Linked DNA regions of Rhinolophus ferrumequinum. The protein of the gene in region 1 purifies or fractionates together with the protein of each later gene. This does not show direct contact. Links are inferred from orthologs where the notes say so. Each region holds a gene or a part of one and is shown on either strand. Other genes may lie near its edges. The genes, in order: GNA13, ARHGEF11 and ARHGEF1.

Region 1 (10,429 bases):
GTCGAGAACATGTAGGTCCTCATCCTGACTGGTTTTACCTATTTGCCCTTCACGGCAAATAAATACCTAGGACTGCTTTCTCAACAATGACCAGACAGTCTTGATATGAGACTGTAAGATGTGAATGTCCAAATTCAAGAAGTGGGAGTGAAGCCCACCTTCACCTAAATGGACTTAGGGAACTTTGCTAGAGAACTTGAGAGCACAGTCGTTTACTCATTCAAACAATATGAACTGTATGCTATTACAATGGATGTTTCTTCCCTGACCTGGGCAGATGAATAACATCTTGAGAAAGTTGTTGAGAAAATGAATGGTTTGTTAAAAGAAGAAAGGAGAAAACGCAGCACTTAAAAACAGGAGAGAGGGTGAAGGGAGACAAGAAGGGGTATATGGAGAACTCAGGCAACATTGCCAAAAACAATTTAACAAATACTGACCACAGGACAAAAATTAACCACAAGTCTGAGAAGTGGATAGAGGTCACCTGTCAAATTAATGTAATAATTTTCAACATACAATGCTGCCAGCTACTCAATTTTAACAATGTGAGACAGTGTCTACCATTCATTAAGGACAATTTTACTTGATGAGATACATACACCAAAAAAGGGAACTATATAAGACAGCACATAATCAAGTGCTTGATTGTATGATATATAGGAGAGCCATTATTCAGAGAAAGTTAAGATTCAGCTATCAGTTTTATAAAAAGCTATCATGAACACTTTTCTTGAACTTTTAAGAGCCAAAACTGCTTCTGAGTACAAATGGTAATAGGAAAGACGGCGGCTGGGTGTACATCATTTTGCAGCCACACCCCTAAATGTGGATTGCTTTAATGCTGATGACATCATCAAACAACTTTCTAAGCAGTTTTACTTATAACTGTCACTTTATTTTGATCATATTACAGTAAAACACTTCAGATCTGAACTACCTCCAAACTGCATACAGTCTAGATTGCTATCATTCCTGGGATCTTTCCGGTCTTTGGCAAATAAAACCCAGAATACAATCAAAGCATTCACAATTAAATTACAAAACACTTGATTTAAAAAAACCTATTTCAGTTATTATTTTTGTATCTTTCACTTGGATCGGATCCTTTCTCTTCCACCCTCTCTTCAATGCTCTGTAACAGCTACAACATTTATGGGTAGTCTTAAGACAAAGTAGAAAAGATAAATATAAAATAAATTCTAGGTGCTTCCCATGTGAAACAAAGGTCCAAGAAATAACTAGGATTTTTCTGTTTAAGAAGGAGCATTTTGTTAAATGTGCCTAGGAGGCTTCAATAAAAACTCATGCAAAAGCAGAAAGCAAATACAGAAAAAGCACAATGATTGTTAAACATTAAGGACTTTAATCTCTTCTATATTAATCTGTACCATAAAATGAGTACCTCTGAAGACTAAACAGCACATTTGAATCTAGTTCAGTTATTGAACTCTTAGTCCAAGAGTAAAAGGTCGGTTTCTTTTTTTTAAAGGGATGAATATTATTGCTATAATTGGGAGGAAATTATTTTCAAAAGGAGAACAAAATTAGAAGTGCCTATGAAAATCATTCTGATCTTACTTTCAAAAAGAAAAATGACCAATTAAATATAATAGCTTTATCGAATCTATGAGGTTTACCATATTTTTACCTTGCTTAGTAAAAAGGTCATCCACAGAGCAGTCCCAATTTCTGAGGCTAAAATTCTACACAGATACATTGTGGAAGTCAGTGAAAAGGGGGTGTTAGACTCAGACATTAATAAATGTCATTAAAATAAAATCATAACATTGTAAAAGAGCAAATCTCTTACCAGTTGAAATTCTCGACGCCGGTCATAGGCGTTCTGTATGCCGCTGTCTGCCCACAATGCTCTTATAGCAGGAAGATATTGTAAAAAAACTCCAGTTTCCACCATTCCCTGGGCCGCCAGGGAGGACCGGGTGTCAAATGACATCATCTTGTCTCCATGGACTTGGTTTGAGTTATCTCCCCAAGGAATATGAAGCTTCTCTCGAGCATCTACCAACACCCTCATACCTTTGTTAAGGGGGGGAAAAAAAAAAGTGTGATAGGAGTCATTAGATATTCTCATAGATTCTATTCCAGTAATATTTTCTTAACTGTCTTAAGTACTCCAGGCCCACCTCCTCCAAAAATGGAGAACATCAAAAGACACGCATAACTTCTCTGAGCTTAAAAAAACTGTTATTCACAGTTACAAAAATTAGAGCCTTGGAAAGCATATACTATCAAACAAGTGCTCTTTCTGAAAATTTTAACATGTTCTAATTTATAAAATAACTTTGGAGTAGAAGGTAGTCATGAGAAAACCAGACCTAGTGAAGAAAAAAGAAATTAGGCTGCATAGCCTAATGTTCAGGCTATGAAGCAAACGGCTACAACCAAGATTTTTTAAGCCCCTCAAAAAGACATTTATTTATAAAATGCCAAGAACCAAACATTATCGCTCTATGTTCTGTTTGGTCCTGGAGCACCCTGCTTAACGCAACACTGAGTCTTCTAGAAACACATTCAAAACTCAAAAAACTTGTTCCATACTAAGTTTCAAATCAGTGTTAAGTCACAAGACGGCCTTAGATTTCCCTAAAAGAGAAGAAGACCAAATGCAAAAAACATGTACATAAAAACAGAAATCTCAACTCAGAGATTGGTTCAAACCCAGTATTTCTATCACTAAACTGTTACCTTTGGTCCATCTTAACAGTCACATGATTATCAAGAAGTCATTTGTTTGGATAACTGAAACACTTGTTTTGCTGTTAATTTTCTGATCATGCCAACTCAAAAAAAGTTATGTATCTAGTGATTTACTTCATCTCATAATCAATGCTCAAAGTGGGTCACACTTAGGACCCAGGGCACAGTTAAGAACCAGGTGTTTACCTGGCTCATAATCAGTTAACATGTTGACTCAATTCACTGACATAATTCCTTAAGTTCAGCTACATCAGGATACAAAGGTACCTTCAATTAAGGACTGGCAAGGCGGAGTCTGCGGCCTTGAAAGAGACCTTAATTAGTTTTGTGCTAAACATTAAGATAGGATAAATACAACCGTTCTGTACAGCTTAACTGCAGTGGCACTAGGGCTCGGAGCTCCCTGTGGTCTGGAGCTTACAGCCTAGTGCTCTTCTCCCGTCATTACCCCACAATCCTTGCCCCCCAAACAGTTCTCCTCTACTCAGTCCTGGGAGGACAAAAGTGAGCCCAATGAGTTGCTTGAGTACTTCCTGAACAAACAAACAAAAATGACCGAAAAAAGCACTGCCTGAAAAGACCTGAAATCTGTTACAAACTCCTAGATAACTGCTACAAAGATGAAAGAATCTGGATACACCTGAAGTACCAGGCTGTGTATCTCAATTTGCCAAAATGTCTTTTATAAAGTAGAAGATATCTGATACTATGACAAGTGAGTGCTAATCACCACCAAAAGACAAAATAAAAACCATCTTGTCTAATTCTTTGAAAGCCCAGAAATAAAATTCTTATGTATTTTTCACTTAAGAACAAAGTTTAATTTTAAAAATATTGTCCAATAAAAGCCGAGTTTAGATCCAAGCTGACACTGATTCACTGACTACCTGTACAGGCTCCACATCCCTATTAGGCCAAAGATTCTTTACCTGAATGCACAATTTCATTTAAATAACAGAAGCAAGTGGGGGTACACACCCTCCCTCCCACCCCCAGGCATTAAGCAAAAATGAGAGTGGAACGTGTTGCATAGTGATTACAGGCAAACATCCTGCCTGACCGTGACCGAGGGGCGAAAAACCACTGATGTTAAGTTTTGCAGACTAAACTGCACGGGTCTCCTCTTCCCTCATTGCCAGCACAGTAAACATGACACCCTCAAGTTTCATATCCTTGCTCAAAAGGGCCTAAGGGCTGTCACCATTCGCCCTTGACAAGAATCTCCGGCAAAAGTTTCCTTATTGTGATCGTGCAACTCCTTTGCTCAGGAGGCGGCCAAGGAAGCAGGGATTTGGGAACAGACCGACTCCATGCGACTCGGGTCACCCACCCCGGGCGGCGAGGTTGGGCAGGCAGCGCGGGGGGCGGTGAGTGGGGGTGTAGGGTCTGAAGCTGGCTCTCAGGTCTTCCTGCCCCGTCTGGAGGGAAGACAGGCGAGGACACCCTGCACTCTGGTGCACTAGGTTCGCCTCACTTCCCTCTCGCAGGGGGCGAGGCCAGTGGCGCGGTGGGGGCTGGGGGACCAGACGTGCCCCCTACCCGGGAGTCAAAGTGGAAAGCGGGGCGCCCCGGGTATCCCCTCCCCTGGGGGACGAAGGCCCCAGGGGCAGGAAGGGCCAGTGCCCGGGGCGCGCCCCCATCCTGCCCGCCCGCTGGGCCCGGTCCTTCGCCGGGGACTGAGCGAAGGAGGGCGGTGCCCGGCCCCGCGCGGGTCACCGCCGGCCCCGGCCGCAGCCCCGACCCTCGGTCCCCCGGCTCCGACCCTCGCCCGGCACCTTTGATCACGTTGCTGTAGATGGTGGGGCGGAACTCCTCGCGCGCGCGCTGGTCGAAATCCTGCCCGTGGATGATCCGCATCTGCTTCAGGAAGGTGGACTTGCCGCTCTCGCCCGCGCCCAGCAGCAGGATCTTCACGAGCCGCTTCACGTAGGTCTTTTCCCGGGACAGGCATTTGTCGATCTCCTTGGACTTGCGCTGCTGCTCGGCCTCGCCGCTCGTCAGCACGCAGCCGGGGAAGCACACGGACAGCACGGACCGCGACGGCAGGAAGTCCGCCATCTTGCCGCCGCCGCCGCCGCCGCTTCGGCGGGCCCCTCCGGCTCCCTCCACCTCCTCCTCGGGCGGCGGGCGACTCCGGCACCACGGGCTCGAGGGCGGGGAGCGTTGTGGCGGCCCGAGCGCGCCGGGGGAGGGAGGGAACGAGCGAACTGACTCGCAGGGCGGGCCGGGCAGGGCGGGCCGGGCGAGCCAGGAGGGAGGGAAGGAGGGCGGGCCCGAGAGGGGCGGTGGCCCCGGCGCGTGCGCGCGCCCGCTGCCTCCCGGGGGCGCGCGCGCACGCAGCAGCCGCTCCCCCGCCTCCCGCCTTTTACGGGCGAGTTACGCTCTAGCTCGCGTACGCGCGGCCGCTGGGGTCACGTGACCTCCGGTAGGGCCGGGCGTGAGCGTGCGGCGTCCGACTTTCTGTTTTCCTTTAATTAGCTGCGCCCATTCCCGGCAGAAGGGCTACTTTCCTGCGTCCTGGAGGCCCGAGACACGATCTCAGACACTGTCCTTTGGGCTCCCTAACTGTTCCCGCCCCTCTTTCTCACAGGTTTCGTGCCCTCCGCCTGCTGTCACCGTTCGCGCACCTTATTTCCAAGCTTTTGGCTGGAAAGTTATTTAGACAGCGGGCGCGAGCCGGGAAGGTTTGGGGTATATTTTCAAAAATAAGGTGGTTTCGTTCACAGCCTGGTCTCCCAAGCGCCGAACGATAACCAAACGTCATCAATACACCCACCCAACTATTTTTGGCATTCTTATACCTCTGCAAAGACCACACACACACCGAGGCAAAAGAACGAGTTGAAGTTAATCTGAGATGTGCTAGGAGGGGTTGTTAATATCTCACTGTGGATTCCCACCCGAGCTGCCGCGATGAAATCAGTGGATGGTAGCTGCAGCAGGGTGAGATCATGGTGAAAATCCCCCTAAACCGGACACTGTGATGCAGACTCTTCCCTACAAGGAAGCAGATAAGCAAACAGACCGAGGACAAGAGCAGGCAAATTTTAGGTTTCCTGCCAGATTACAGAGGATATGACCAGCCAAGGGACTTTTTTCTGTTCTAACAGCAGATTTAGGCCAGGACACCTGAAAGGGCTGCCAGGAGACAGGTAACAAGTGACAGCTAGGAGAGAGACTGCCATAGCAAGGACCCCGGAAGCCTCCTTTTTCATTTTTAGTATTTAGTTTCAAGTGGTAAAAACCATTTTGGTCTGTCTCTCTTTTTGGCAGTGCAACCATAATACTTTTGATTTGGGCTCCTGTAGCTCAGAAACTAGAACCTATCGGGGCAGTTGAGGTAAGAGGTCAGCACTCTGAGAAACTCATGAAACAGGTTTAAATTAAAGAAATAAAACTCAGTGCTAATCAAGTGTACTGTCAGGGTTGGGTTCATGGCTGAAGAGCCTCATGACTCAGTAAATTGGCTGCAGTGAACAATGCCTGTAGCAGGAATATCTCCACTGGTCCTGGCAAATGCCTATAGGGTAGACAATCTACGGTATACACAGTGGGGTAGATTCAACTCAGTATCTGTGGATTAATAAGGTCGGAATCACTGGGTGATGCCTTCAGGCAAAATGCTTGGTAAAAGCCTACCCTGAATAGAAGATCTCTCTATTGTCTCAGTTGATGTTCAGGAGGCCCTGTTCTTCAACCATGAAAAGACTACCCACAGCCCAGGACTGGGGCCAAACATTGGCGCCCAAGCATCATTTCTACAGGGACTCCAGATTCTCATCTGAATGTTTCTGCAAAAATGGGAGGCAGGAAGCCTGTAAGTTAGTTAGATCGTTAACCTTTTTCTTTTTCCAAAAGCATGTGCAACATAATAGAGAACCAAGGATGCCTCGGAGGCAGGAAGGTATTCCTGCCCGGCCAGTTCATGTTGTGACATGTAGAGCAGCAGAGAAAGCTGTTCAAAGCCTGTACTTGTGCTGGAACAAGCTTGGCTCAGATCGAGCCTAGCTGCTCTAATCAGTTTTTCTGAAAAAGAGACCTCTTTGGACCTAGACTGGAGTTTGGCTGCAGCGGTCCCACTGCTTCCGTCTCGTACGTAATTAAGCCACCTTAAAATTGTAAGCATAAAAATGAGTTAGAGGTGTAGTGGTTCCTCAGAAGGTTAAACATAGAATTGCCGTAGGACCCAGAAATTCCACTCCTAGGTATATACCCAAAAGAAGTGAAAACAGGTGTTCAAAGAAAATATTGTACACCTATGTTCATGGCAGAACTATTCAGAATAGCCAAAAGGTGAGAATAACCCTTATATCCATCAATGGATGAATGGATAAACACACTGTAGTATACCTATACAATGGAATTATTCACCAAAAAAAAGAAATGAAATACTGATATATGCTAAAGCATGAATGAACCCTGAAAACATGCCAAGTGAAAAAAACCAGACACAAAAGGCCACATATTTTAAGGTTCCATTTATATGAAGTGTCCAAAATAGACAAATCCATAGAAACAGCAGATTAGTTGTCAGGGGCTAGGGGGAGGGAAGAATGAGGTAATGGTTGCAGAACGTCGTGAATGTACTAAATTCTCCTGAATTGTCCACTTTAAAATGATCATATGATGAATTGTGTGAATTTTATCAAATGATGAGTTATGTGAATTTTATCACAATAAAAAAATGAGGTAGGGAAAATAATATTTCCCATAAAAGTCATCAGTATCATTTAACACTGAAGTACCTGCAGTGTTCAGTATTCAATAAATGAAAGTGTGATTGTATTTGTTTTAGAATAACACTAACAACTTAAATCATTTGCACCAGAAGCTAATCTACTCTAGCAGTATCTATCGATTGATAGGGTCAGAATTATCAATTAAAATATCATTAATATTACAACGTAACCTGAATGCTTCAGGTTATATTGTAATGATATTAGTGATATTTTAATGTTCAGATAAATTTTTCATACCTGAGAAAAATCCAAACCTTTTAAGGGAATATAGAGTCTCTTTGTTAGAATTGAATCTGCTGGGTGCTATATTTCCAATAGATCCCGACATTAATTCATTGGAAACATCTGTATTGCTCGCCAATTAATCCATATGCAAATGAGGGATTCAGATGACCCTGGGAGCTGTGATAAAATGATTGAAGTGTTGATTAGTTGCAATGCTCTTTTCTTTCTGGAAGCTCAAAGTCTAGTGCCAAACAGGCCTGCAGGATAAATAATGAAGGTATGACTAAAAATGTAGAAAAACATTTCCAAATGGCTTTTCTCCTTTCATGTGGTCACCTTAAGATGGAACACGCCCTTTCAAACAATACTGCTAATTCTTGAAATTTTCTCTTCGTAACTCTTCTGTTGGAACTGAAAGAAAGATAGGCTTCCTATCTCCTAGTCACAGCTTTTTTTCAGTTTTTTTTTTTTTAATGGTATTACTTAGCTCATTTATCAACCTTTATGCCAAATAACTTTGGCCTGTTTACAAAGTCAATATTATTCACAAAGGACACAATTTTTGTCACCCTCAGACATATTCAAAGGATATACCAGAGTCTCTAGGAATAATTCCAAAAGAGGAATTAAAACATTTTTTGCCTGCCAAAGTGACTACTCACTACTCAGGATAGGACAACACCCATTTAGATATGTTTATTTAAAAATCAGTCACATTGCCTGATGGTTAAACCTTGTGTTAATTTTCTAAGGATGATGACACCTCCAGATTCTTGTTACACAACTCTGTGGTCTCATCATCAATATAGGATAGGTGGATTCTAATCCTTCCTTACAGCTAAAACAAGCATGGACGTTTCTTAGCTTCCTTTCCCTAGCAGAAGAGGAAGGGAATTCCCTAGCCCTTTCATAATACAAATCCCTTACATTTGTGTAATGTTTTAAACGCCTCAAAGCCAGCACTTAGACCTACTTTGTCTCATTCTGTGCTCATGATAGCCTGATTAAGATCAACCAGCATTAACCTCACTCCCATCTCTGCACACAAGAAAGCTGATGGGCACAGAAGTTTAAGTGACTAGTTCAAAGCCTCACTCAGCCTGGCTGGTTGCAGAGCCAAGACTAGATGCTCCCTCTTTTGACTCTGAATCCAGTGCTCTTTCTGATAAGCCAAAATTGTCGTAGTGTCCCAAATGCCCAGGTGTATGAAGTTCAAACTTAAGAAACAAATAGCTAACTGAGGTACCATAGAGTCCAGTATGATTCGGTTGGTTGGTTGGTTGGTCTGTTTTTCCAGCCCCTTTCGGAGTGACTGCCATCTCGAAGCTTACCAGCTCTTAGGCTGATTCTGGTAAGATGTTCCATACTTTGAGCTCAGCCTCTGGTTTCTAAAATGTTCCAGATGGCATGTAGAAATAATAAAAGAGGAGTCAAGCTTATGGCAATATTTACACGGTGCATAAGCCCCAGACATCCCCTGAAGGTGAGTTAAATATGACAAGGCAACTTTTTTGTAATGAAAATTGATGGTGCCTTACCAAAATAAGCCTCTCATGTGGAAAGTTTTGTGTGAAACTAGGCATGTGGAATTGCATTGTTGGTGGATTTTTTTGCTGTTGTTATTAATGGAAAACATGACTTTAATTACCGGTTACATACTTCTCTCAGCCTCCAAGAACGGTCCATGAGCTGCTGATGACCAGCTGTGACCTCACTTCGGTTTATTCCAACTAGAAGCCTGTGCTGTCCGAAAGACACACACCAGCACGCATAGGAACGCTTACACCTTGCTTACTGCATCGGCCCCGTTTATGGGCAATCTATTTATATAACATTAAGCACAAGGCTTTGCCTGTAAATCTGACATTCTTTCTGAGAAATTCAAAACATCCTGCTCAGTCCCTCTCCTTTATGTTCCCTTACAGCTATTAAAGATGAGGGATACTTTTTATGTTTTACTACCCGTAAATCGGCTGCCCCTTGCCAGAAACAGTCACAGTTCTTTAACATAAATTCTGTTTCTCCAGGGAAGTTTAAGCCTGCAAGAGTCTCAATTTATTCCTGTGTCTTAAAATACCTCTGCTCCCAACCCGGCAACAGAAGTTTTCTTTCCCTCGGAACACTGGGTTGGCAAGCTTGGACCTGCCATTTCCAGGAACCACAGTCCTGGCTAGCTAGCTAGCCAGGTGGCGTCACATGTCACAGCCTGTAGTCCTATCGTTTGTCTCACTATAAATGCCAGGGTATGTCAGATGGTCGAGTTGACCGTTAAGCAGTAAAGGCTCACCCAGGGGCCCTGAGACGTGGCCCACGTGGTCTTTGTCAGACTGTAGGGCAGGCTGGCTTCCGAAGCAAATAATGTCATCAATGTATAGCTCTAAACTCCTGTGTTAGCTGCTAAAAAAAGAAGGACCAGGTCGTGGTAGCACTCAGGGAAAGGCAGCAACTGCTGAGTCAGAATCACAGAATTTGGGCCGGCCCGGTGGCTCAGGCGGTTAGAGCTCCATGCTCCTAACTCCGAAGGCTGCCGGTTCGATTCCCACATGGGCCAGTGGGCTCTCAACCACAAGGTTGCCAGTTCAATTCCTCGAGTCCCGCAAGAGATGGTGCAGGATGGCCCTGCAACTAGCAACGGCAACTGGACCTGGAGCTGAGCTGCTCCCTCCGCAACTAAGACTGAAAGGACAACAACTTGAAGCTGAATGGCACCCTCCACAACTAAGATTGAAAGGACAACAACTTGA
Region 2 (10,097 bases), on another chromosome or scaffold:
AGCTACCAGCCTGAAAGCTCCAGCCTAGGACAGGCCTACGCCCCACTGCCCTCCCTCCTCCACACCCCTGATGTGTGATTTTGCCTCTGCCAGACAGAAAGGCTACAGACTGGGGAAAGGTTACACTCGCTCTCAGACCCCTGATAAGGAACAGTGGCTGGGTCTGGGTTATTTTGAATTAGGAAAACTCAAGCTTCTAAAACAAGGATCGGCCAGAGATCACAAAACAAATCCTTCCCATCCCCATCTAAGGGAGCCGAGGTGGCTGAAGCCTCTCCCACCCGCCAGTAACCGCCTCCTCTCCTCTCCTCTTCCGGTACTGTCACACCCTGACCACCGGAAAGTGTTCCTTCTTCCTAGCCCCATGCACATCTGCAACAAAAAGCCTGTTCACTCGGGTTCAATTCCTTGAAACAACGGAAAGATCTCTAGTTTGTTTTGGGCTCGTTCAGAAAGTGGTGCATGAAGCCAAATCAAAGCCAAATCTACAATCTAAAATTTATATACAGTTTTACAGTTTAGAAAGCAATTTGAAATATGTTATCTTATTTCATTTGCTCCTTTCAACAACCCCGTGACAGAGATGCAATAAATGTTATAATCCTCAAACGACACGCTACGTTTGTGAAAAAGTTTGTGACTGGAAAGCATTTCATATAAATGAGCTATTGCTTTACACATGAGGAAACCAGAGGCGCATGTGACCTGCCCAAGGTCACAGAGTGAAGCGGAATGCCAGGGCTCAAACCAAGAACTCTGGGCTGAAATCTAGTACTTCTTATCTGCATAGAGAAAAGCTGTTTTATAGGTGCAAATTCTAACCCACCTGGCCATCTCAAAACATTTGCCATAGAGAATTAGGCAAATGGCTATAGAAGACTTAGCAAAACTCATTACCATTCCATAAAAATAATTCAGTATCATTACCTCTGCTGGCAATATCGAACATCGTATTTTTAGAAACTTTGAGGAGAACAGACATTAATGGGCAACTAGGGGTCTGTCCACGGACAAAACCTGAAAGGAACACAAACAGCGATTCTTAGCCCATTTTTCATAACTGATTAACACTGAAAGATAAAGATGAGTCGCAAATACCTTGTGTTTCTTTGGACCCGGGAATCACTGCGGGTAAGATAAATATTCCAAAGCCTTCTTCACTCTGAGCCACTCTCTCCAGACACTGTTTCGTTCCAACATGCTGCCAACCTTCTGGAAAGTCCACTTCACCTAGAGCCTCTCAATTGACCTTCCTTTAGCTACACTTGAAATTAGCACACGAACATTGAAAATTCCCAAACGGGAGGATTTCTACTTGCTCACATGCTCATTCATTCCAAGCCTCTTTTGTCCACTGTGTACAGAAGGCCAAGGCGCTGGGCCCGGACAGAGCTGAGCAGGGCTGAGCAGACCGTCCTGCCAGCCTGCAGTTGACAGGCAGTGCTGCTGGCACGTGGGCCACAGGACCCCTGGACCTGCCCTAGTTCCCCAATTAGACTGACACTTGCTGTGAGCAAGAACTACATACTTTAACTTTCTAAAACTCTCACAGCACCTTACACCAGCCTTTCTCCACAGCAAATGGATAAATGAAAGGAGAATCCTGACTCCACAAGCTGGGCGTTTCCTTCCTCTCAGCCCCTCCAGTGTGGCCTAGACTGTGAATTACTTCAAATCCATAGGAGCTTGAACCTGAGATGTCAGAAGGTCCACCAGAAGGAGCCCACAGCTGACGGGGAAGATCGGGGTACAGAACCTTGAAGCGGGCCGTGCCTTGCCTAGAACTGATCCTCTAATGGCGAAGGGACGGGGTACGGAGAAAGGCGAGGAACGCTCTCACGCTGCAAAGCTGCATTATCCCACAGGAGAACTGCAGGTGCACACCCCAAGACTGTGAAAAAGCGCCAGGGACTGCTGAAGATCATCTTACCTACTACCAGAACGAGAATGGAGCAGTGCCTCCACCCGCCACGGGACCAGCATACACACCTGTTTAGACAGGTGGGCCACAAAGCGCCACGGGTTCAGATTCAGAAGACCTGCAAGTCTGACACCAGACAAGCCAGGTGTCCTCTCTGAGCCTCAATACCCGTTCTGTAAAATGGGAAGAATAGCCTCTGCTTTGTCTGCCTCATGGAAATACTGCGAGGCTCGAATGTGATATGTTCCTATGAAAGCACTTAGAGAAACGTACCATGCTATACAAATCCTGAGAACAGTGGGGCTATCCAAACTCCCAGAGGAACATGTCCCATCAGCGAAGGAACCCTCACTGCCCCGTTTGCACCCCCAAACACCCAGGTTTCTATCTTCTCACATCCCTGAATTCAGAGAAATAGTCCACCATCCAAATCTCCAAAAGGCAAGTGCACTAATTCCCCAACTCCAAGAGGAAGACAGGGAGGGCAGCCATGTAGCCGTCTTCAGCCCGGGCCGTGCCATGCCTCAGCTCTCCCTTTACAAGAGTCCAACTACAGAGAAGCCAACAAGAAGTGGAAGGATGGAGGTTTGAACCAGCCACGCGCACTTTCTGTTCTCTGTGGCTGTTTGCCTTCCCCTCTCCACTGCTAAGTCAGGTTCCTGTGTGGGGACTGCTGGACCCATCTAAGTAGGGCTCGGAGGCCATACAGAGGTCACTGTTTGGGAGAGAGAAATTATATGCACCTTAGGCCACATTCCAGAGCCAAAAAGAAATTATTCTTAGCATGGATTAGCAAAGGTTAGGTGGACACAAAGAAAGCAACTATTTCTTTGCAAACAGTCTTTCTTATCTCGCCAATACTATATTTCCAGGTCCAGTCCTTTCATTTGCTTGTTCAGTCCTGTCCAGTCAGAATGTGCGTGCAGTACCCACCAATGACCCCCTCCCGATTCTTACGGAGAAAGTGGGCGGACAAGGAGGGGAGGGAGGGAAAAGCAGATACCTTACCAAAGCTGTGAACCATTGTGTTACCAGTGACAAGGCTGGAGAGACTCTGGGGGGGTGGGGGGCTCTAAGGGCCAGTGCATCTGCCCATCAGGCCGAAGAGCCCCAAACAACTCCTTCCGGCTCAAGGCAGAGGGAAAGTCCATTTTGCAGAGTCAAGCTTATTAGAAACGCCTTGGAAGATTAAACCTACAGCATTAGCCGGTTGGCAGGTCTCAAGTTAAAATTTAACCTTGGAGAGGAAACAATTCTAAAGTGACCTGTGCATTTTGGGGCTATTATTAGCCACCGGTAAAAATCCAGCCCTGTAGGGGTGCAAAGGGTGTTTCTGTGCCATCATTCAGGCCACGACCATCGTCCTCATTTCAGACACTGGATCCACTCCACCACCAAACCCCACCATTCCACAACAACCAGCCCGGTGGAGGCCCACGCCCCTGCCAGGGCCCTTCCCCCAGCAGCTCCAACACCTACAGCCAATCCCAACCCACCCTTGCAGACTCAGACTTGTGCCCACCTCCCACCCGCTAGGCTGGCAAGTTAGGGACTCAAATTTAGCCTCCAGCCTGGCAAAAGTCAAAGCCGGCTGCAGGCACTTCCCCCCTCCTCGCTTCACTGTCTATTGCTTCAATTGAAGAAAAAAACCACTGACTCAGAAGACGTTTTGAACATGGACACACACAGGGAAGATAAACACACATGCCGGACAGTCCCCGCAGACCAGTGCCTGCTCCTACCTCCCCAACTCCCACTGCCCACCCAGACCCTCCTTTTGCAACCTTTGATCAAAATGCAACAAACACTCTCCCTCCCAGTGCGTCCTTAAGTAAGTATTGAAAAACCCATTATTAGCAAACCTACCTGTCTATACTCTGCGGTAACCTTACACTCATGGTTTCTCGGTGTCTCCACGGTTCCAGAGTCCTGTAGTTTTGACGTCTTGATCAGGATTGAATCCTCGCAATTTTTAAGAAAGGTGAGAGGAGGGCTTCCCAACTCGAAGACTGAATCCTCTGTCCTCCAGCTCTCAGGATCCTGGTAACTGAAGCTCCATTCTACTTCTACCAGTTAACATGGTCTCCTTTCTTAGACCCCCTTTCCCCTCCCCCCTCTTAAAAAGAAAAAGAAAAACGAAAGAAAAAGAGGAAAAACGATGACCTTAGAAACCAAAACCCAACCACAAATCTCTTCAAGGTTAGCGCTATGGGCTGAAAAAAATGAATCACAGAAAGAATATGCCTTCAAAATATCAGTCTTACTGCAAAATACAGATAAAAACCATCCTTTTAATCCAGTTTTCCCAGCTGTCCTTCTGTTGGCAAGAGAGCCTTAAGCTCCAAAGGGGGAAATTCTCTGGTCTCCAATGCTTAAAACGACAACAGATATATATGAGGGAACAACAACAAAAAAAGGATGAATAAATCCGAATTGGCACCTGAAAAAAAAAATCTTCCAGCTGATTTGCACGGTAAAAAAAAATAAATTAAACCATACAATAGTATGTACACAACAGCATTCCTTCCAAGTCCAGTGCGACCCTGGGAACCAAAATTATGAATTTCCTTTAAAAAACAAAAAAGCTTTTACATGAAAGGTTTTGAGATTCTGAAATGAGCCGATCGCACCCAAAAAAAAAAAAAATCAAAAAAAAAATCAGAGAACACCTGAAATGAAAGCTTTCTACCTTTAAAATGGTAGCAATCACCACAAAGCAGAGACCCTCTGGAAACCTCGTCCCCTTCCCTTTCCTGGAAGCGCGCCGGTTTCTGCGCCTTCCCGCCCGGGGCTCAGGCCCAGCCCGGGTTCGGCCTGCTTCGGGAGGCCGTTTCCTGAGTGGGTTCTGCTCCGCTCGTCCTCATCCAGGCTCCGGGGCCGGCCTCGCCTCCGCCCCCATGAAACGGGTTCCCGGCTCGCGTGCCGCACCGTCGCCCGGTCGCCCGGCCTGGCGGCCGCTCCTTATCCACAAGCCGGCTGAGTCCTGCGGGTTCGGTTCGGCTGGGATTCTCCTCCACACCCGCCTCCGGGCAAGTCCGACCGCCGGGCTCCCCGCCGCAGTCCGCCCTGCCTACCCGCGCGGGGCGCCGCCGACCTCGGCTCCAGCCCCGCTCGCCTCGGCGCGACCGCCGCGCTCCGGCCTGGGCGGCCGCGGGGCTCCGGGCTCGGGCGCAGGCCGGGAAGGCGGGCGTGCGGCTCCTTCCGGGCCCCTCACCCCTCGCTCGCCGCTCGCTCGGGCGCAGGCCCGGCCGGCCGCCCCTCCGCGCCCTCCGCCGTCCCGCGAGCCGTCTCCGTCCCTCGCTCGCGGGGGCGGGGCCGCAGGCTCCTCCTCCTCGCGCCGCAGCGGCGGGGACGACGGGGCGGCGGGGACGGCCTTTCTCTCAGGCGGGGCGGCCGGGCGGTGGGGACGGCTTCTCCCTCAGGCCGCGGGGACGGAGCGGCGGGGCGGCCCTTCCCTCAGGCCGGGCGGCGGGGCGGCCTCTCCTCAGGCCGCGGGGACGGAGCGGCGGGCGGCGTCTCCCTCAGGCCGGCGGCGGGCGGACCGCCCTCCCGGCCTCGCAACCCCGCGTCGGCGCGGCCTAGCCGGCCCGGTGCTGAGCGGGATCCACGGCTTTTCCCGGCGCGGCCCGCCGGCCCCGCCCCCGCCCCCGCCCGCTGTTCCCCTTTAACCGCCCTGCGCTCGCTCGAGACCTGACCTGTGTGCACCCCCCACCGGACGGGTGCCACCCCCTCCCCCGGGGCCAGGTGTCCCCCGTGCGTGCACCAGCGCCACCGCGCCGACCCACGCCGCTGCTCACGCTGCCTCCACCTCTTTGCTCATCGATTTTTCAGAAATCTGTCGCGGCCTCCTTCCCGGGTGTCAGGAACCCTGTTGACCGCCCGCCCCCCATCTCTGGGCCCCCCAGTTCTAACCCACCGACACCGCGGAGACACCCGTCGCTGTTGGTTCCGGCATCTTAACCCCCGGGCTGTGAGTGTTGGGACTCCATGGCAAAGGCCTTTCAAGGACAGTTCTGCTTTCATAACCCCCTCTCGTAGGCTCGCGGTGTCCAAATCTTTCCAAGTAACATGACATTAGTCAGAAGGTCCCCAGCGTTCTGGTTAAAAATAATATAGAAAGGAAACTGCCGCTAGGACTGGGAGGTGCTTCTGGAAAATGCCCTGCGGGCAGTGGCGCGGCTGCCGGTCCTCGGTCCACACCACCTTGTTGTCCTTGGATGGGTGAAGTGTGAGATCGTGTGTATTTACCCACACGCACACGCCAGCAGGAGGGAGCCGAGTGGCCCCTGCAGTGTTGGAAGTGGGTTTGCAGACAGCAGGAGGCAAGGGGACTAAGGAGCATCACGTGGGGCGGGGCGGGGGTGGGGGCGGACGGGACTTAGAATGATCAGGAACGTCCCCTAAACTATCCCAGGTGCTGGTTAGCCCTGAGAAGAAAGCCCCGCTGCCTTCCTTGCATCTCCACCGCACCGTGGCCGGGACTCCCAAAGACACAGGAAGTCCCAACTGCCCCCGACCTTGTTAATTCCCTTCCCATACCACCTGCACAATCGTGCTCCCAAATGTGACACTTCCTGTGGCCATAGGCCCACTACTAGTCGCCTTTTTTGTCATGCTTTCTTAACCTATGTAATGTTTTTTTAAACAGTTATTTACATGTATTTTATTACATACCTTATAAAACATGCCCAAGAGTAGAAATATTAAAAGATGGAAAGAAAGATGAAGTACGTGTGAAAAATCATACTGTTTAGTGGAAGTTAATGGCTGTCATAACGAAAAGATACTTGTCAGAGGTAGATCTAAAGGAAGAAGTGTGTCCTTGATTGCATTTATTAAATTATGGTACTTTCCAATCCCATTCATCACCGTGTTAAGGCTTTTAATTGAAGTTCAACTATTAGATTGGTGCAAAAGTAATTGCGGTGTTTGCAATTATTTTTAACCTTTTAAACTGCAATTACTTTTGCACCAAACTAATAGTAAACAAAATGCAAGTATTGACTTAGATCGTCTCCACAACCTTTTGAGTAAGTAATCATCATCCCCATTTTCAGATGGGAAACAGGCCCAGAGAGGTAAAATAAGTTGCTTAGGGTCACAGAGCTGGGAACCCACGCAGTCTGGGTCCAGAGTCTACTTAACTGTCAACCGTACTGCGTCTGTGTTACAGGCCCTATGCCAAGCATTAGGGGGAAGATAGCAGACAGGCAGGGCTTACTGAGGAGAAACGGGAGGGTGGGGCTGGAAGTAGAAGTCGGTGGTTTACTCCTCAGCCCTCCAGAGAGTTCTTTCTCCCACCTTGCAGTGACCTGCAAGTCTTACCTAGTGCTCTCGGTTCTTCGTCTTCTTTCTCAGTATCCCTGGAAATATCACCCCCAGAAATTTGCCCCCTCATCACTCTTGAGGATCTCAAGGCATTTAGTGGAAGAGGGGCTTCTCACCTTCACTCCCACTGAGGGGTGGTTTGCTTCATCTCCATCACCTCCCAGGTATGCACTCCAGCCTCCCAAGCTGATACCTTCCTGTCTTTGGTTACCCTAGAAACCAACTTTCTCCCATCAACACCCCTGTAGCTGAGACAAACTGAATAACAGGGAAGGTGCCAAGATAAATTGTAAAGGAAAATGTGTGAAAGAAAACCAGTTTTAGATTGAAGGCTAATATTTTGGGAAGTTGGATGTGTGTGTTATTTTTTTCCCCCTTGAATAAGTAAAAGTTCCCAGGATCAAATGTGAGATACAAAAAAGGTGAGATGCCAAAGGGAAGATTAAAAACAAAAAAACAGACAAAAAAAAACTTGCCCAAAGCCTGCTTTAAAAATTGAAAGAAAAGTGAAAAATGTCCTTTAAAATAAGAAAATTGACATACAATAAATTACACATACTTAAAATATACAACTTGATAAATTTTGACCTTATACACACATGAAACAATCACCACAATCAAGATAATGAATATATTTATTACCTCAAAACTTACTTTTGCTCCGTTCTAATTCTTTCCTCCCACTGGATTCCCTCCCCCCGTTGTAGTCCTTGGGTGATAGCTGATCTGCTTCTTGTTACTATAGTTTGCATTTTTTAGAATTTTATATAAATGAAATAATAGATTGTGTATTCTTTTTTGTATGACTTTTACTCAGATTCATCTATGTTGTCAGGTATAGAGTATATCAACTCATTGCTGAAGGGTATTTTTAAAATTTCAATTTCTAATTGCTTACTGCTAAGACAGAAATACGGTTATTTTCGTATGTTGATCCTGTATCCTGCAATTTTGCTAAACCCACTTATTTTGTAGATTTCATCAGACTTTTTATATAGATGATCATGTCTGAGAATAAAGACAATTTTACTCCTTCCTTTCCCATATGTATTTCTTTTTCTTGTCTTAGTGTGCTAGCTAGAACCTGCAGGGTAATGTTTATAGAACAGGTAAGAGCAAACATCCCTGTCTTGTTTCCGATCTTAGGAGGAAAGCATTTGTTTTTCCACCATTAAATATTATATTATTCATAGTTTTCTCATAGATGGTCTTCTATCATATTGTGGGTGGTTGTTTTTTATTGTTAGATGTTTGTATTTTTCCAAATTCTTTTTCTGGATTGATTGAGATGATCACATGGTTTTTCTTCTTTAGTCTGTTGATACTGTGGATTTTCAATTAACCAGTCTTGAATTTCTGGGATAAACACCACCTGGCTGTGATATATTAATCTTTTTTTGTTTTGTTTTTTTAAAGGTTTTATTGGGGAAGGGGAACAGGACTTTATTGGGGGAACAGTGTGTACTTCCAGGCCTGTTTTTCCAAGTCAAGTTGTTGTCCTTTCAATCTTAGTTGTGGAGGGCGCAGCTCAGCTCCAGGTCCAGTTGCCGTTTTCTAGTTGCAGGGGGCGCAGCCCGCCATCCCTTGCGGGCGTTGAACCGGCAACCTTGTGGTTGAGAGGACGCACTCCAACCAACTGAGCCATCCGGGAGCTCAGCGGCAGCTCAGCTCAAGGTGCCTTGTTCAATCTTAGTTGCAGGGGGCGGAGCCCACCATCCCTTGCGCAACTCGAGGAATTGAACTGGCAACCTTGTGGTTGAGAGCCCACTGGCCCATGTGGGAATCGAACCGGCAGCCTTCGGAGTTAGGAGCATGGAGCTCCAACCGCCTGAGCCACCGGGCCGGCCCATTAATCTTTTAATATATTGATTTGATTTGCTAAAATTTTGTTAAGAATTGTTACATCTATGTTCATTAGTCTGTCACTTTCTTTTCTTGTAATGTCCTTGTCTGGTTTTGAGTAATGCTGACTTCATAGAATGAGTTGGGAAGAATTCCCTTCTCTTCAATTTTCTGGAAAAGTTTGTGTGGAATTGGCATTATTTCTTCTTTAAGTATTTTATCGAATACCTTCCTCCTCCCCCCCAATGAAGCCATTTGGAGGAATTTTCTTTGTGGGAAAGTTTTAACTACAAATTAAAAAATCTTTTTCATAGGTATAAGGCTACCTGGATTATTTTTTTTCTTGAGTGAGTTTTGACGGATCCAGTCTTGTAAATAATTTGTCCATTGTATCTAAGTTGTTGAGTATATGGGCATAAAGTTATTTATAATATTCCCTTATTTTTAATATGTATAAAGCCTAGAGTGATGTCTACTCTCTCGTTACTGGCATTTGTCATTTTTTCCCTAACCAGTCTGACTATCGATGTATAAATTTTTTTTTTTTACACATAATTCATATGTTGAAGTGTAATCCCAATGTGATGGGTTTTGGAGGTGGGGTGTGAGATGTAACCAGGTCATAAGAGTGGAGCCCTCATAAATGGGATTAGTGCCCTAATAAGGAGAGGCCAGAGTAGCCAGCTCTCTCCTTCCACCATGTGAGGATACCAGAAGGTGGCCGTGGACAACGTGAAAGGGGGCTCTCACCGGAACCTGGCCAGGCTGGCACCCCGATCTTGGACTCCCAGCCTCCAAAACACACAGAGAAATTTTTATTGTTTAAGCCACCCAGTCTATAGTAGTTTTGATAGCAACCCACAGCGACTAAGATGGTTTCACTGACTTCAGTCTTTCATTCCCTCTTTGATTTAGCCCACTCTGATCTTTGTTATTCCTTCCCTTCTGCTGCATTGGGTTCAGTTTGGTCTTCTTTTTCTAGTTCCTTATGAGGTACAGGTGGACT
Region 3 (10,762 bases), on another chromosome or scaffold:
CATTTCCTGATGGACCCAAGCTGGGAGGACGGGGTGATGATGGTGTCTATTCTGTAATGGTGGCTGCAGGGCAGGTGTCAAGGAGAAGGGAGAAAATTTAATGTTAAAATGAGGGGTAATGAGGACAGAAATTAGGAAAGATGGACTGGGGATCTGTGATATACGTGGGGGATGGCAATCAAAACCGGGATTAGGGTACAAAGGGTGATATCAAGGATGGGGGCGGGATAAGGAAGCAGGTACAACCCAAATAAGAGACTGGCAGTGCGAAGATGCAGAAGGACAGCATCTGAGGATGGAGAACTGGACTGAGGTGGGAGGGGACACTGAGGATAGGACTCGAGGGGCTGGGGCCCCAGGAAGCCTAGGACAGAAGATTTTCCACTGGGTCTCCCCCTCACCGTCTCCAGTTCGTTCTCAAAATCCTCATCCTCGGCCCCAATGATGCTGACGGGCACAAGGCCAGGCCGGGGGGGCCCTGGGGCCTGTAAAAGGGGAGGCTTGGCTTCAGCCCACCGTGCTCCCCACCTCACAGCCCCCCAGTCCTTTCAACCCTTGGCTCTGTCCACTCACCGCCCCTCGGGCCACGACGTCCTCTGCCTCCATGGGCTCTGCAGGGCTGGGGGAAGAGGAGGGGCGGAGGTTAGGGGGTGGGAGGAGGTGGCACTGGGTGGTTACTCACAGATTCCTGGCCCAGGTGTGAAGGTGAGTAAACAGCCTTCCCCCATCTGGGCCTCCGCAACTCAATGGGGCCTCTGTGTGGCGACAAAGAGCCCTTCAGAGGCCAGCCAGGGCGGGGAGCCCAAGGACAGGGAGCCTTGTTGGGCGGGAAGCTGGAGGCCCAGGAGCCTGGGTCCAGGGGAGAGCTGTGGCCATGACAGCCTGCAAGTTTTGGGTCCCTAATGCAGGAGGGGCTGGGGGCTCCGACTCTGGGCTCTGAGGCAGGAGTGGCTGGGGGCCAGCAGAGTTGGCGAGGTTAAAGGGGAGGTAGGAGGGAGATAAGTGGGGTGTCTTCGGGCTCCTCTGATCTGTGACAGGCTTGGGGCAGGATGTTGCCTCTGAACCCACCAGCCCCACTTCCTGTGACAGGAAATCACAGTGGCAAACCCCTCAACCCCCAACTCTCTCCAGATAAGAAAACAACACTCTGAACTCTCTTCCCTCAGGGACCAAGAGTCCCCGGATCCACAAGTTCTTTTCCTCAGGGACCTGGTATCTTTCTGGCTTCCACTCCCAGGAAACAAGGAACGGTCCTCAGCTCATCCCCCAAGGTGTGTCTGTATCCCTCACCTACATCCATCTGCCGTGCCAGCTCCGCTTCCCCCAGCCAGCACTCTGGCTGTCTCTCCCTGATTCTGCCTGTCTTTGCCCGTCTTCTGTTTCCTCGTTTTCTCTCCCTTCCTTCAGACCTGTCTCATTTTTCCCACTGTCTCTGCCTCCCCTCCTCCCTCCTCTCCCCGTCAGCCAACTCCACCCTGTCCCTACTTCTGCTTCTCCCTGCCTTTGCCCTCTGCCTCGCTTCTGTCCCTGCCTCTGTCTTGCCCCATCTGCAGCCACTGTCCTCGCACCGATCTGAGCTGTTGGCTCACGTGCTGCCTCTCTCCCATCGTCTCCCTTAGCGTTTCCACTTCTCCCTGTGTCTTCCCACCAAAATCATCCGTGTTCTTAATTGGTATGACTAATGCCACGCGAGCCCGAGCTGTGTCAGGCGGGAAGAGCTGTGGAAATGGGTGGAATGGACCAGTGGGGGGCTCTCCCCACAGCCCAGAGCTATTTATAACCCTAGTTGCCTGAGACCCACCCTTCTCCCTCTTCCACAGGCCTCCTCCCTAGCACTCAATAAATAGTAGCTATGATTTTGATTATGATCATTAAACAATGATGCTTTCTGGAGTGTCCAAATGCTATCCCATGGGTTCATCAGAGCAGGCACCATTTTTATTCTGTTGCATAAAGGGTATTTGTCAAATATCCAAACTTGGGTAATTTAAGATTTGAGCATTGTTAAGTATTCACATAAATAAATTTGCAAACCAAGGCAGAAAAATAATAGCAATTATTTATTATGAATGCTAAACTTACATAACACTTACAGGGCGCCAGGCATTGCTCTGAGAGCTTCTCACATAGTAACTCACTTAACCCTCACAACCACAACCACCCTGTGCTATTGTTATTCCCATCAGAGATGGAAAACCTTCACCAGGCCGCCAGCTGCAACTTCTGGGCTGGAAAACATGACCATGAACACAGAGGGTCCATGATCATCACCTCACTTAGGGGTGGAGAGGTTCGACAGAAGCAAGGAGATTCCAGAAGGGCACAGGAGAGGATACATGTTATCTGAGCAAATGCTCAGTGCCAGGCAGGCCCCAAATCATGCACGTGATACATATTATCTCCTTTATTCTTTGTCTGTCACAATAATACAAAATAATAGCTAACACTTAATGTGCATTAAGTGTCATTAAGCATGTGCCAAGCACAGCATTACTGCTTTATAGGTATTAACTAATTTAATCCTCTCAGTGACCACATGAGGTCAGTATTATTATTATGCCCGTTTTACAGAGGAGGAAACTGAGGCACAGTTCATAAGGAACAGAACCGGGATTCAGACCCAGGCGGTCTGGCTTCAGAGTTTATGCATTTAACTACCAGAATGTGCTGCCTCAGAGCATGGGGAACCCCCCACTCCAACCTTAGGAAACTAAAATCAGAACCAAGACACATCAGGTCTCCTTATGGGCCTGGAAAGTCAGGGGTATGCGGGTGCTGTGGCCTGGGTAGGAGTACAGGATGGGCTCGGCTGCTCCACAGAGTCTGGGACTCAGGGAGGATGGGGGGAGGGTCATGCTGCTCAGGAGATGGCGGGGGAGAGGAGCTGCCACAAAGGCTGGGAAATGATAGGCTGAAGCTGTCAGATGGCTTTACAGGCACCTGACAAGGCCTGAAGTCCAGCAGAGGGGTACTGTGTGCATGGGGCTGATAGGGGTCAGTTCAGAGGTAGGGATCCTACAGCAAAGCAGACACGTGTGGAAGGCAGTAAGGGCACTTGGGTTCTATGCAGGGCTCAGGGTCTATAAGATATTGAGTTGCTGATCCTAGTCCCTAAGAACCTCTGGGAGCCTTAAAGAACCTAAAATACAGAATAGTTAGGGTGAGTCCATAAGGGGTCCTTGGAATGTATACAGCCTCAGGTTCTATTTGACACATGGTGGGCCTACAAGGATCAGGGGTCACACGTGATCATGAAACCATAGGGAAAGTGGCCAGTCTATGGGACCTCTGGAGACTTAAAAGGGGACGAGAATTTCATAGGGGAGTGTGGTGGTCTCCAAACCCAGGATCTACAGGGCTCTGGATTCTAGGGGATACTACCGCTCGTTGGGGACTCCATGTCTGTAAGGAGCAGGGTCTCCACAGGGGGCCAGCAGAAACCTGGGGTGTCTGTAGGATCTTGTACTCTACATGGAATGTGGCGGGTCTACACGACCCCCAAACCTACATGGGACGTGGCGGGTCTACACGGGCCCCAAATCCTATAGGGGACGTGGCAATGAGTACAGCCAGGGATGCTGGGGCAGACGTGTGGAGTCAGGGTTTGACACCCGCCAGGGGCCGCTTCCCTCACCTGCTCCGGGTCGAAGAAGCCACCGCAGCTGCCAGAACCGAAGCCTCGGCGCACCGGCTCGGAGCTCCCCCACCCCCGCCTCCGAGTCGCTCTAGCCGCCTCAGAGGCCGCCTTTGATTCCAGCTCCACTCCTCCCGCCAGCCGCTCTAGCCTGCCTCCTGCCAGACGACTCTACTCCTCTTGCCAGTCGCTCTAGCGCTCCACTGCGCCACGCTGGCCAGATAGGGCCGCTCTGGCCTGCCTTGGAGGTCTGGCGTTTACATATCTCGACTGCTCCCGTTGCTCCCCTGGACCCCGCCCCTGCCCCGCCCCTACCTCCGCGGCCTGAGGTGAGGATGGTTCCACCCCCCACGCCAAAACTGAGCCTGAGATCTCCGAGTTACCACGGCCCTTACTTAGTTCTTGGACTGGGTTCCCCGCCCTATTTTGCCTCTCTTAACTGGGGGACCAAAGTTGATTTTCCAACGCTCGTTCATTAGTTCTCTGCGCATCCACCCCACCCCACCACCGCACACTTTCCTCTGGGGCTGGAAAGCAAAAATCCTGAGTTCAAGCGTACTTTTCCCTCTGACATGCTATGTAACCTGGAGTAAGCAATTACTTCTTTCCAACGCTCAGTCTTCCCATCTATACAATGGAGGAAAGTCGCCAGCTCTACGCCCTACAATCCAGCTCTCGATATAATTAATGACCCAGAAAAAGCTTCCCAGAAACGCTTTCAAATGCGCTCCGCAACTTTCAGCTTCACAGCGGCCTATGACGTTAACTGTCGTTTTTCTTTTTAGGTGGTCCTAAAGCATGCGGGGTTGGAGGATGATGCTTAGCGGAAAGCACCTGCGAGTTCAAATCCCAACTCCACTCGGTCTCACGACGTGTGCCCTGGGACGAGTTGGATCTGCTATCTGGGCCTCAGTTTCCCCACCCGTACAGTGGGAGTGATCATCTGTTCTCTGGATAGTTGGAAGCCTTGACCCGGCCTCGCATGCCTCACCCCACCTGCTGGACACTCGGCGGGTATTAGTTCTGTTCTCTTTGCCCCCTTTGACAGATGGGAAAACTGAGGCCCAGGGAGGGGCGGTCTCTGACTCAGGGGTGCCCCAGGAGGCCCCTCCACTGCCAGCAACGCCCCAGCCCCCTCTCTCCTCCTCCCACTTCCCCGAGCAGCCAAGGGGAGGAGGCCGGGCGGGGCCACGGACGGTGTACCTGGTGTCCGCGCAGGGAGGTGACCGGCGGGGCGCCCGAGGTCGGGCTCGGCGATCCCGGGCCCTGTGTCCCGGCTCCCGCTTCCTGGCTCTGGCGGGGCAGGAAGTTGGGGCGTTTTTCCGGAGGCCCCCGCCCCGCCGCCCCTCCCCGCTTCCTGCCTGCGCCCCGCGCCCGCCCGGCACCTCCGCTTCCTTCCCCTTCTCGCAGCCCGTCCGGCCCCGCCTTTCCCCGCTCCGCCGGGGATCCGAGGGCATCGGCCCCGCCCCGACCCCGCCCGACCCTCCCGGCAGGGTATGTCCGTCTGTCTGCAGGGCGTGGTGTCTGTCCGCCATCACCTCCCGGCGGGGCTGGGGGCGAGTCTCGCCCTGCGCCCTCCTGGGTCTGCGTAGCAACTTGCCCGCTTTCCGTCTCTGTGTGTCTCTCGGTCTTCCTCTCTCTATTTCTGTCCATGGCCCTCTTCTTTGATTCTCTCTCCCCTTTTCTCCGCTGGGGTCTTTTCCACGGGTTCCCCGTTGTCCCTCCCCGTCTCTGTCGCTTTCTCCCTCGGAGCCCTTCTCTTTCCATCTCTGCGTCTCTGCATCGCCATCTCAGTCATTTCCCCACCTGTTGCTTTCCTTGGAGTCTCAAGGGTCACCCTCTCCGTGTCTGTGTTTCTTGTGAACCCTTCTTTCCTTTCTCTCTCTTCCTTCTGTCTCTCTCTCTCTCAGTATCTCTGTCATTATCTCTCTGTCTCAGTCTTTCTTCCCTCTCTATCTCAGAAACTCTACATCTCTGTGCCTGTCTGTTATTGACCCTGAGTCTCCCCACCTTTCCCAAGTTAGGGCCACAGACTGGCCAGTCCCCTGCCACAAATCCACTCCCAGAGGACAGGTGTGACCGTAGTAGAATTTGGTTCCAGCCCCACCAGGTCGTCCCCTATGATTCTGGGACTTAGATAGGGATAAATAATTATGGTCACCTCAATTCCCCCCTTTGTCCCTTCCTGCTCAGGGCAGACATGGCCTTGGGTGCAGCCCTCCCCAAGACACTTCCTGTTTCTCTCAGGGGGCAGCAAAGGTGTGGGGAGTGGACAGTGGCCAGAGGCCCTGAATCCTGGGTCTGAGGGAGGATGGGCTGGCGGCCTGGACTCCTGGGTCCCAGGGGAGGAGGGTGGGCGGTCCCCATGAGATCCATGACTCCTGCCAAGGTCTGCTGTTGGGAAGGATTTATTATCTCTAAGTGGCCATGACAGAGCTGGGAGGGGGAGGTGACACTAACAAGGCTGCTATAATCAGCTCCCCTAGAGGCAGCGATTAAGGGCTCATTACCTGCTGGCTGGGTGGGTGGGAGCCTGGGAAAGACAGCAGAGGGAGCACTGAAGGTTTGTGAAAGACAGCAGAGGGAGCACTGAAGGTTTGTGCGGAGGAATGGGGACAATCTAGAGGGAGCAAAAGCAGTGAACACTTCTAATAGGGAAGTTGATGCAGGACACTCCTGAGAAAGATTGTGAAAAGAACTGGTTCAAAGGAGGGGGAGAGACGCCAGAGCTGGGAGTACGGCAGGCAGGGGCAGCCCTGCTGGTCACCATCATGGCTTCTCCAGCTGTACATCTCCGATGTGGAGGCTGCCCACGTCCTGGTATGTGCCCTGGAGGCCCCGGGAGATGTCCTCATACATAGAGCAATCATCGAGGTTCAGGCCCTGGGGTGCAAACGTGTTGGTGGGCCTCAGTGCCCTGATGCTTAGGTCCCTGCCCCCAGCCAACCCCATGAGGACTCATCATGAGACCCCCCCCCAATGCACCTGCCCCTAACCTGTCCCTGCCCTCCACTCACCTCATAAAGATTTTCATCTTCATAGTCATCCCGGGCGTCCACCCCGAACTTCACATTCTGCCAACGTTTCTGTGGGGGATTTGGAGCCTCAGTGAGGGGGCGTGGGGGAAGAATATGTTTGTAGGACCCCCTGGATGCCAGGAGGTGCTTTACCAGAGCTGGTAAGGGACACTGTCAAAGCCACATATTGGGTAAGTGACAGGTCTCTCTGGGTCCAAATCAGTGTCCTTTTGGTTCTCTCCCCTGCCTCATTGTTCTCCACGAATAACAACAAAACTAGTAAATGGCTGTAGTTGTCCTGTGGCCTAGAGAGAGGCTTGTGCGTATCAGAGACTCTGGGAGGACCCCTGGGCTCCATCTTCCCTGACCTTGGCTACATCTGGAGGCCACATCACTCCTGGGTAGGGGGAAAGTATAGCACCCTTGGGGGTGAGAGTGAGACAGCTTCGGGGGGCAGTGTGAGAACATCCCTAGAGAAGGGCAGGGAGGACAGCCCTGAGGGGAGACTGAACAAGGAGCTGCCCACAGTACCATTTAAAACCCTATTATTGTATTAATTCGTTTACCCCCCAAGTCCCCTGTGAGGTGGGTGCGTAGTCCTCCCAAGTTTTAGGTGGGTGCCCTCAGATGCCAGGGTCCCGTCCCAGGGGGCTCACCCTGAACAGCAGCAGCGTCCCGGGCACCACCGCACAGAACAGCAGGATGATCCCCTCGGCTGTGATGATGTTGTTCTTGGTGCCCTCCCCCAATTCCAGGAAGGGTTTGGGGATTGACTCTGTGAGGAGGGAGTGCTGCTCAGAGCCCTGGCACCCCGGCCCCGCCCCCAGCAAGGCCCTACTGAAGCCCCCATTCTGCAGGTGAGAAATGGGTCCGTGTGTGTGAGCAGGGAGTGAGGACACCCAGCAGGCAGGCACGGGCTCTGTCCTCACTTCACAGATGGGAAGCCTGCAGTCCCGAGCTGCAAAGTGGTGGGACCCTGGAGTCAGGACTGCCACTCACCGAGCACTCGGAGGTAGGTGCCACAGGAGTGCCGGACCTCTTTGCCAACTCTCACTCGGCACCTGTACATGCCCACATGGCTCTTGTTCACCAATGAGATTTTCAGTTCATTGCTGGGGCCCTGGCCTTCGCCAAAGAACCGAGCTGACCACTTGTTGTTTTCGGAGTTGCGCCACCATGTGACATTTGTTTCACCAAGGATGCTGCTATTGTACCGGCACGAGAAGCTAACGTTGGCTCCTATGCTCACCGTCATTGAGGGTGGGCTCCACTCCACCGACAGGGTGTGAGTCTTCTGGCCTGTGGGGAGGTGGGTGGGTCAGGGACTCTGGATGGGGACATAGGTCCCAGTCCTGGCCCCTGCAACTGCAGCAACCCTGGGTGTGTGTGTGGAGGGAGTATGAGGACACTCCTGGGGAGGAGGGAGGGGGACAGAGGACACAGGATATTGGGAGGGGGAATGAGGGGGTACCTAGGGGAGGACAGAGAGACGCCTTTCGGGGGAGACACAAGACACAAGACAGCAGACATCTGAAAGAGCCAGAATCCAGGGTGCCTGCTGCGTGTAGGCAGACAGGGTAGTGACTCTGAGCTCGGTCTTTGTCCCTTGGGGGAGGAGGGCATCCTAGGGGAGGAGAGTAAGATACCTGGGGTGTGACACACCTGGGGATCCCCACTCCCCTCTCTAGCCACCTCTTGCCACCCTCCCCCACACCCACTTTGTGCTTTGGTCCCACTGAGCTCACTGGCATTTGGACACTAGGTTCCCTGGTGCCAGAGTGCCCCTGCCCAGGCAGCTTCTTGCAGAATCAGTTTGGACATCACCTCCTCCTGAAGGCCTTCCTGGTCTACTCTCTCAGCCCCAGTCCAGCCCTGCACCTGGCACTTTATCTTGTGTAATCTTCACAAAACTCTTAGAAATAGTTTCTCTCATTATCCCATTTTTCAGGTGGGGCAACAGAGGCTCAGGATAGCAGGAGTGGCTGGGGGTTCAAACCTCAGGCCCCCGGGCTTCCTCCTGCCAGTCTTCAGGTCTGCCTTGTCTGTGTCTCTGAGGCTGCCCCTCATTCTCTGTAGCTTGTGTCAGCCTGGGGGTCCAGTGAGTTCAGTCCTTGAACTGGGCTGAGGGTTTAGGGAAGGGCCTTAGCAGGATGGGTGATGAGAGGGAGGCAAGAGGGCCCAGCCTGACTGCTCGGAAAAGCCCCAGTTTTCAGTGTCCCCGGCCAATCCACAAGGCTGTTCTGCCTCTTCTGGAGAGGGAAAGGGGAGGTGAGGAAGAGAGAAGGAGGAAGGGGTGGGGAAGGAGGCAGCAAGCTCAGGGTCATAGGCTCCCATCTGGGCTCCCAGTGTAACCTTGGGTGATCAGCTGCCTTTCTGAACTCCTCGGTCAAATATGTAGTCACAGCCCTGCCAGCAGCTGGTACCGCTGGGGGAAGATAGCCAGGGGGTTGCCATGAGGCTGCGTGTCCCCACCCTTCCCTTTCCCGCACTGAGAAGGGTGTCCCTATGTAGGGGGGTGACTGGGATTCAAGGCAGAGAAAGAGAAAGCTTTTTTTTCCCTCTGAAGCTGAGCACTCCCCCAAATTTCATCCTGCCCCCACCTCTGGAGCTTAGTCAAGTGCAACCTTAGTTCCTTATTTTGATCTGTGGGGAGGAGGGGGTGAGGAAGGCACCTGTAGCCCCTGTCTCCATCCATGAGGCAGTGGATGCCCCTTCAATGTCACCAAGCCCCTTCCAGCTTCCCGTAGATCTGCTTGGAACAGTCAACCAGACAGACGCAGTTTCTACAGGGGCATTTCCCAACTCCCCTCCGGCTGGCTCCTCTCCACTCCCCTCCTGGCCTCCCTTCCCTCTGCCTGTGCCCTCTCTCCATCCTCCTCAGTCACTGCCCCCCTCCACCCAGCAACAGCCTGTTAGCCACATACCCAGGCCAGTACCCAGGCCAGCGGCTGAGATCAAGAGGAGGAGGACGGTGGCAAGTGAAGCTTGGAGGGCTCCGGGACCCCTAGGCATCTTCTCCCCGTGGGTTGGTTCGTCTGGGCTGCAGCAGTCCTGGGGTACCAGATCCCCCCTCAGTGGGCCCCAAACTCCACCCCACTTCCTGCCCAGCCCTGCCGGAGATTGGCTCCACTGGTCCCACTGCTGGGCCCTTCAGTGTCAGGCCAGGGGACAGCCCCTGCCAGTGTGCTTCAGGATGTAAGTGGAGAGGAACTGCTCCCTGCACCTGTGGCGACCACAATTCCCCTGAGGGGAGGTTGCTTGGGTGAGGGGAAGAGGCCAGTTCAAGGCCTGCCTCATCACTGGCAAGCCCTAGAGCAGACATCTGAAAGAGCCAGAATCCAGGGTGTCTGCTGCGTGTAGGCACACAGGGTAGTGACTCTGAGCTCGGTCTTTGTCCCTTACTGGCCTTGAGCAAAACTTGTCCTCACTCTGTGGGCCTGGAAACGAGGATTTAAAGGGGTTGTGATGCACAGCCCTGAACACAGCACCTGGCACATAGTAGGTGCTCAGTAAATGTTGGTTACTACTGTGCTTCCCTGAAAATAAGACCTAGCCAGACAATCAGCTCTAACGCGTCTTTTGGAGCAAAAATTAATAAAAGACCTGATATTATATTATATTATATTATATTTATTATATAAGACCAGGTCTTATAGTAGAATAAGACCGGGTCTTATATTAATTTTTGCTCCAAAAGACACATTAGAGCTGATTGTCTGGCTAGGTCTTATTTTTGGGGACACAGTATTAATGCTCATGAGAAATAAATGAAGCAGGCGACTGGCTCTATGACTAAGTGGTGGCTTCCCTTTTCAAGTCGTAGCATTTAATCCAAGAGATGAGGATAAGAATATATCCCTGGCGTTTGTGACATGAGATGACGTTCCTGGCACCCAAGGAGTTACAGCCATGATGGGCTCCTTCTTGATATATCTTTCAGCTTCCCCACAAGTGGGCAGGTAACCCCCATCCTCATTTTACAGAGGAGGAAACTGAGGGCCAGAGAGGGGACACTGTCACTGTCATTTGCCCAATTTTATACCGTCTGGTGGTGGAGTAGGGATTCAAAGTCACTATGTGTGCCCAGGTTCCTTTTAGCATTATTTTAGGT

What was found.
Region 2: the proteins of GNA13 (region 1) and ARHGEF11 purify together in Homo sapiens (affinity purification with western blotting; 3 studies listed by BioGRID). This does not show direct contact. The link is inferred for Rhinolophus ferrumequinum from reciprocal best matches to the Homo sapiens genes GNA13 and ARHGEF11.
Region 3: the proteins of GNA13 (region 1) and ARHGEF1 purify together in Homo sapiens (affinity purification with western blotting; 5 studies listed by BioGRID and IntAct, with this or other methods). This does not show direct contact. The link is inferred for Rhinolophus ferrumequinum from reciprocal best matches to the Homo sapiens genes GNA13 and ARHGEF1.

Annotation. Positions count from the first base shown.
Region 1 is NC_046304.1:45,087,743-45,098,171, reverse strand, and holds the start of GNA13 (guanine nucleotide-binding protein subunit alpha-13), read right to left. Parts: upstream 5,013-10,429; 5' UTR 4,780-5,012; coding exon 4,497-4,779; intron 2,041-4,496; coding exon 1,814-2,040; intron 1-1,813. UniProt on the Homo sapiens protein: Guanine nucleotide-binding proteins (G proteins) are involved as modulators or transducers in various transmembrane signaling systems.
Region 2 is NC_046305.1:1,325,141-1,335,237, forward strand, and holds the start of ARHGEF11 (rho guanine nucleotide exchange factor 11), read right to left. Parts: upstream 5,044-10,097; 5' UTR 3,820-5,043; coding exon 3,788-3,819; intron 1-3,787. UniProt on the Homo sapiens protein: May play a role in the regulation of RhoA GTPase by guanine nucleotide-binding alpha-12 (GNA12) and alpha-13 (GNA13). Acts as guanine nucleotide exchange factor (GEF) for RhoA GTPase and may act as GTPase-activating protein (GAP) for GNA12 and GNA13.
Region 3 is NC_046298.1:39,864,559-39,875,320, reverse strand, and holds the start of ARHGEF1 (rho guanine nucleotide exchange factor 1), read right to left. Parts: upstream 5,021-10,762; 5' UTR 4,838-5,020; intron 3,738-4,837; exon of another isoform or gene 3,635-3,737; intron 620-3,634; 5' UTR 607-619; coding exon 574-606; intron 486-573; coding exon 402-485; intron 1-401. Other genes in the region: CD79A (B-cell antigen receptor complex-associated protein alpha chain), read right to left, coding at 6,404-6,517, 6,652-6,720, 7,308-7,426, 7,651-7,950, 9,576-9,663. UniProt on the Homo sapiens protein: Seems to play a role in the regulation of RhoA GTPase by guanine nucleotide-binding alpha-12 (GNA12) and alpha-13 (GNA13) subunits. Acts as a GTPase-activating protein (GAP) for GNA12 and GNA13, and as guanine nucleotide exchange factor (GEF) for RhoA GTPase.